Linked DNA regions of Mus musculus. The protein of the gene in region 1 purifies or fractionates together with the protein of each later gene. This does not show direct contact. Links are inferred from orthologs where the notes say so. Each region holds a gene or a part of one and is shown in the gene's direction. Other genes may lie near its edges.

Region 1 (3,500 bases):
AAATTATATCTTATATCTTGGGTATCCTAGGTTTGGGGCTAATATCCACTTATCAGTGAATACATATTGTGTGAGTTTCTTTGTGAATGTGTTACCTCACTCAGGATGATGCCCTCCAGGTCCATCCATTTGGCTAGGAATTTCATAAATTCATTCTTTTTAATAGTTCTTATTCAAATCAGTTCATTAATGCATTTGTCAGATGTCTGCTGTTTAGCCAGTCCATATTGAGAACTGATGTAATGGTACTGAGGTTGTTTAAAGAGTCATTTTTACAGATATTGGCAATTTGCACAGTCCTTGAACACAGTGATTTTTTTTTCTTTTTTATCTTAGCAACTGCTGGCAGAAAATGGATGTAGAATAATGGACAGACCAGATGAATGAATGAAGACTGGACATTTCTCAACGCATCTTTCTCTTCCCTGCAGGAACTTCTGCTTGCAGAGAAGTGGGCGAAAATGAACAAGCTTCCCTTTCCAAAGATCGATCCTTATGTGTTTGATCGGGAAGGATTAAAGGAATGCTATGTTTTTAAACCTAAGAATCCTGATGTGGAGAAGGATTGCCCAACCATTATCCACTTTGTTCTGGCCAACATCAACTTCAGAAAGTACAAGGCCCCAGGTATGTTTCTGTAAAATTGAAGTCTGGCTGGTAGGATGTTTGCTATTACACTGAGATTGTCACATGAACTGTGACTGTGGGGAATGCGCCTCTTACCATGACAAACAGCAGTGACTTGGGAGCCCAAAGCCCTTCCTTCTTTTTTTACCCCAAGATTCATGTTCCTTATAATAGAGAAACTGAAAGAAGAATGACAATCTTAGCTAAAGATGATTAGGGCATTGAACCAGCATCTTGGGTTTGGTAGGTGTCCAATTCATAAAGGATGTTTTAAATAGTTTGACTTTCAACTTTGTGAAATCATGAAAATCAAAATCATGGAAAATTCTTTGGGAGTATTAATTGATCACAAAACTCTCTAAAAAAAAAAACCAAACAAACAAAAACAAAACCCACAGCATAACTGATCATTTTGGGATGTCACATTATATTTTACAGCAAAGGAGATCTAATTCAAGAAATGGTTACTCTGTTTTCTCATATCTGAAGGAGTAGGTAGACTCTAATGCATCCTAAAAGATTCTCATTAAAAAAAAAAAAGCATTCTCCCATCCAAGTACTAACCAGGCCTAACCTGGCTTAGCTTCTGAAATCAGATGAGATCCGGTGCATTCAGGGTGGTATGGCGTTCTTAAGGCTTTAATTGCTAAATATTTCTCAAACCAGAAGATGCAGTTTTCCATTTTGTGATTAGAAATTACCACCCACCCACCACACACAAACTCTGGGTGGTAATGGGATATAGGGAAGTTTTTCCCTAGATTTCTCAGAAGGATAAAGAAGAAGTGAGAGTGGAGTTGTGAGGCAAGTCTCATCCTGGAGAAAGAAGGCTGGCTAGCATCTTTCGTTTTCAAACTGAAACCGTAGTTTCAAATTGAAACCCTGATTTTAAACTGAAAGCAACCTAGATAATATTCTATTACTGGTAGTTCTTGGGGAGAAACCAAGAGGTTGGTAAGTATAGGGACTTCTGATGGTTGAGTAGGGTTCAATGTTTTGGTTTGGATTTCCCCGGAGGAAGATTCTCAGGACAAGCTTCAAGTGCAGAGGGTTTATTTGTAAGGGAGTGAGGAAGTGATACTGGGCAGGGAGACAGACAACATAGCACATGTTTGTATGCCAGCTACTCAGAGAGGAACGTGACCCATCTGGGGAAGGCTATAAGGCAGGAACCCAGGATATGGGGTCATCCTTCCCACCCACGCTAGCAGGCACGGAAGCTGGGTATCTTCCCAACTTGAGTGTGGCTGACTAGGGAATGGAGTAATTTTTTAGAATCACAGGCTTTCTGGTGATTCTCTGTGCTGTCCTTATGCTTGTTTTGTATGTTTTGGAGAATTTTTTTTTAAGTTTTCAAAAGCAAGATGCATATTCTTTTTGGCATATAGGTGTTCTAAGGGAAACCAAAGAAGAGAAAGAAATTGCTGACTTTGACATTTTTGATGACCCCGAATCGCCATTTTCAACCTTCAACTTTCAGTATCCCAATCAAGCATTCAAAAGGCTTCACGATTTGATGTACTTCAACACACTGAACAACATTGATGTGAGTATCTACCACAGCAGATAACATGGAAACTCCTTAGCCTACACATGAATTCATTAAGAAGACAGATATGGCTCTGAGGTGACCATATGCAAAACATGGTGCCTTATTTTCCTGAATGATGTCACTAACATCTAGTAGACACTAAAAAGTCATGAATAAGGACATCACTGTCTGTGGCTAATCAGAACCACACTTTATGCATTGTTTGGTGAAGGAAGTGTTCCTTCTCAGCTTCCCTGATATATATGTATTGTATCCATTTAATGGTAAAAACAATTTATAAAAGGAGGGAAGTAGAGGAAGAGCAGTATATGGGCAGGAGAGAGTGTAACCATGAATGTCATTATTGCAGACATCTCAGCAATGGCATAATGTTTTCAAATGTTTGGTTCTTGTAGATCTTGACAGTATCACCAAATACTCCAGTCCCCTGCATTTCAGCCTTTGAGATAGCCTGTGTGCTTTGTGAAATCGACTTCTGAAGCAAGGCTTTCCCTGCAGTATCAAACATTCTTATCACTAGCATATCTGCTCCTGAAAGTCTTTGTCTGTGAGATTGCTTAGTGTTAAATGCACCCTTTTATAGTGCTGTTGTGTGATTGAGATCATCAACTTGTGGGCCACAATCAAAGCATCTAACGAGTTATTATCACCTGTAAAAGCTGAGCTCATTGGATTAGGAAAGAAAACAAGAAAGGAAAGATAATTAGAGTTGTGTATTATGTATGATTTGGTGATCTATTTGGAAATTATGAATGATTGTGGATTATGAATTATGGAGGTCAATTATGAAGACTTTGAAGGAACACATGGCTGTGTTGTTTCTGTGGAACCTAACTAGATTTGTGCTAAAGGAAAACTGACATCCATCAGTGTTCATGCTTTTTAGATCATTTTCCTTGAGACAGTTAAAGACAGGTCAAATGCAATCATGACACAGTGGCCATAATACTTCAAAATTCAATACAATTTAGTCATCATACAAGAATATTTCTAATAAACTCCAGTTCCTATAAATTCTAAAATTCCTCCTTTTTTGCCCATATTTTCTAGTAGGCAATGACTAATATGCAATGTACTTACCAAAAGTTGTAACACATTATTTGCTTAACAGATGCTTAATAACTCTTACATGGGATGCTTAGTAAAGCTTACATGGGAGTAAATATTTAAAAACCTCATTCTACCTTATTTCTGTAGTGATGCTTATAATTTATAGAAAATAGAGACATGAATTTTGTGACATGAGAAACACAGAGAAAGTTTGAAAATAATGTTGTGTTTTATGTTATTTAGATTTCATTTCATGTAAGTGTGTAGGAGG
Region 2 (3,500 bases), on another chromosome or scaffold:
CACCCCCCCCCCCCCTTCCCAGAACTCATCCTTTAGCTGCTGTGCTCTGAGCTGTCAACTGCCTAAAGACAATTTCATCTGTATCTCCTCTACTTTGAGTCATTCATTTAACAAATGTCATCTAGTGGTCTCAACTAAAGCAGAATAATATGTGGTTCTTAACTAAGACAGTTCTGGAGGCGAGGCAGACAGGTGAACAGGTGTATCCGACTAAATATATCAGGTAGGTTTCCCCAACTCTCAGACCAGTGCCCTCATGATAACGTGTTACCCAATCAGAAGGGGAAGGCCCACCCCATCTGGAGTGAAGTTTGGGGGGGTGTTAGGTGGAGTAGAGATGCCAGATTCAAGTTCCTGAAAAGCTTTCATTCTAGTAACTGATTATAGAGCGTAGTGACCCCTATAATGCACGCAATGGGGGATTGGTTAGGACCACTCTGCCAGAGAAGGACAATATGATGCATTTGTTTATCCAGGAGAACAGCATTTTCACATTTCTGTTACACGTGTTTGTTTGTTGTTTTGATTCTTGACGAAGGGTCTATACAACCCAGCCTGGCTGATAACTCCATTTCTCCTGTCTCAGCCCCATCTCACTCCTGAGTCCTCAGTTCGTAGTTCTTGGGATTGCCCTTACCACACCTGGATTTTTTGCATTACTGTAAACCTTTCTCCAGAGTAACTCCTTTCTTATAGCCCTGGTCAGTGCCTTCTGGGATCAAGGTCATATGCTGTGAATTTCAACTCTGTTTTCACTTTCTGGCCAGATTCTATCTCTGTGTTATTATTGCAAGTATCTTGAACTAGCAGGGAGTCAGTGGGCTGCTCTGTGTGTGGAATAAAACAGGGGAGTTGGGGATGGAGGACCTGGGGCAGAGGTGAAGCTTCAGGGAGGAACATTGTCACTTCATAGCCTTCTGGGTAAGGCAGGAAGAAGTGGACTAACCTCAGACCTTAGCTCTCAGCAAGGTAGCCTGACTTCACCCTCCTGAAGAGGACATTCAAGTGAGGCCAGGATTTCCTCTGCTTACAGCTTGCATTTCCTAGGAGTCCTAAATTGGCCTGTTTAGGGGGAAACCCTCTTTAGCTCTGCAGTATACTCTCCAGTATACTCTCCTGATGCCTGGGAGGAAATACACTGGATATCCACCTGGTTCTAACAGTTGGGATGTCTGGAATCTGGAGTCTTTGCTCTGAGAGGAGGTCAGAAAGCTCTGTGGCTCTGATGTGGGCACAGACTTTAAACTTCATTGGCATCTGGCTCCTTTCCTGAATGATTGAAGGACTGAGGTGGCATCCCATGTCCTTCATTAGGTGACTGAAATTCAGTTCTCTTAAACTCTGTGCTTTAAAATAAATCCAGGCAAGGTAGACTCTCTGTGAGCCAGCCAATGCCATTAGAAACCCATATCCAGGATTGGGGAGGTGGGGCAGATCCAAGGAGTATAAGATAGGAAAAGGGGAGGGGCTCCCCTGGATTTCATGCCATTGTGCACCTTGAAGTATAAACTTGCTGCTGTCCACATCATGCAGATGAATCAGGCCAGATCCTCACTGACGGTGTTCTCAGGTGTGGGATTCCTTAGCGGGTTCTTATAATTTTTCTGAGGCAAAGAGGTAGAATTACAGCCCTTAAATATAACTCTTCAATTTTTTAGTGTTCAGCGCCACATCTTTGACTCTGTAAAAGATAGTATTTAGAAGCCAGGCCTAATGGCTCAGACTCAGCTACTCAACAGGCAGAGGCAGGAGGATCTCAAGTTAAGGCCAGTCTAGGCAAGTTAGTGAGACCTGTGAAAGAGGGTCAGGGTGTATATATAGTTCAGCGATAGCCTGTCTTAGACCCTAGGTAGGGTTCAGTGCGTGTGTGTTGGGGTGGGTTACAGAATTTAGGGATCTGAACAGGCATTGTCAGCAGCAGGATTCAGACCAAAGTATGCCCTAGGTTCCTGTTGTTGGTCTTCAGCAGGAGAAGTTGCCAGCTTCTCCTATTTGCACTCAAAACTCTATACGGACACTGAGCTCCTCTTGGCACTGGGTCTGGCCGAAACATTTGCCCCAGTTCATTGTACCAAACACAGTGACCTAACATTTCCTTTCCTCTCTTTAAACTCTTCATGCTGAAAGGCCCTTGGTCTCTCATTGCACCCCAGCTTGTGAGGAAAACGCTTCTGCGTAGTCATACCAAAAGTGTATCTGGCTCCTGAAGGAGTTTGTACATATATGGGTACTCGTTCCTTCTCTGCTGAACTTGATAATGAACATTATGGAGTGTGTACTCAGACAGAGTGGCTGCGTTTTACTGCTAGAGCATGAGCTCAGTGTTTGTAGAGTGCACACAGCCCACAGACAAACCCATCTATAAGCAAGTTTCTAATCTCTAGAGTCAGACTGGTCCAGGTCCCTGCTTCAAGCCTGGGTGGCTGAGGCTTCTATAGTGACCAAGTTGGACTTGTGGCTTGTTGGTGTTCAGCCATTTCAAAGAATTACATGTTCTGTGCCAAGAGAAATAAGGAAACATCTCTTTAACTCGGTACTTTGTAGTTAAAAAGAGCATCTCTAGTCCTACTTTCCCAGAAAATTAGATCTTCTTTTTCTTGATTAGGAGCATATAGAGTGGCTGACAGGAGTAAATCCCACATTCTGAGATCCAATACCTGAAGTGTCTGTTGCTACCAACAAAAGCCCCCAAACTGAGCCTTAGATTGATTAAATTTTATGGGAAAGGTGATTAGACCTTCTGCTTTCTCCTTTCCCATTACTGTCTAAAGATTTTCATACCTGTGGTTTAAAAGTTAGTTCAAACTCTCTTTATGTCCTTTAACAGGTTTCGACAGACTCTTCAAAATGCCATCCCAAATGGAGCACGCCATGGAAACCATGATGCTTACGTTTCACAGGTTTGCAGGCGACAAAGACCACTTGACAAAGGAGGACCTGAGAGTGCTCATGGAACGGGAGTTCCCTGGGTTTTTGGAAGTAAGTGCTGAAAGTCTCAGAACCAGATATAAAAATCAGAGTGCCCTTCCCTTTCTTCTATCCCTTCCCTGTAGGGTCACTACTTGGGCGTGTTTCACATCCATTTACTTGGTAGATAGTACCTACTGTGTGTTAATATATCACAGGGGCAGCAAAGTGGAAAAGATTCCACCCCTGGCTTCAAAGAACTCTCAATCTGCAGGTGAAAATACCACACCCATTGGCACATCATGAGGGGAAAGGCTTTTCATGAGTGTGTGATAAGCCAGGGATGCTGCACCTTAGGTCTATAATCTTCATGGCGGAAGTTCCACATTCTGGTCATATGCCACTGGGAAAAACTTGAATCTTCCCTGTGTGTGGCTGTGAGGTGCAGGTTGAGTCTAGGGCCCCATTCAGGCAAAGCATGTGCTCTCTTGGAGAGCGCCCCTCTACTCAAATCTTCTTAAATCCCTTTGAACAAAAAGAATTTTCTTCTTTTTCCAGCTCTAACCCATAAAGGGATCATGTTAGTTGCTGGA

What was found. The genes of interacting proteins can lie anywhere in the genome.
Region 2: the proteins of Pla2g4a (region 1) and S100a10 purify together in Homo sapiens (affinity purification with western blotting; 3 studies listed by BioGRID). This does not show direct contact. The link is inferred for Mus musculus from reciprocal best matches to the Homo sapiens genes PLA2G4A and S100A10.

Annotation. Positions count from the first base shown.
Region 1 is NC_000067.6:149,839,291-149,842,790, reverse strand, and holds part of Pla2g4a (cytosolic phospholipase A2), read left to right. Parts: intron 1-431; coding exon 432-627; intron 628-2,015; coding exon 2,016-2,173; intron 2,174-3,500. UniProt on the Homo sapiens protein: Has primarily calcium-dependent phospholipase and lysophospholipase activities, with a major role in membrane lipid remodeling and biosynthesis of lipid mediators of the inflammatory response.
Region 2 is NC_000069.6:93,558,117-93,561,616, forward strand, and holds part of S100a10 (protein S100-A10), read left to right. Parts: intron 1-2,827; 5' UTR 2,828-2,847; coding exon 2,848-2,979; intron 2,980-3,500. UniProt on the Homo sapiens protein: Because S100A10 induces the dimerization of ANXA2/p36, it may function as a regulator of protein phosphorylation in that the ANXA2 monomer is the preferred target (in vitro) of tyrosine-specific kinase.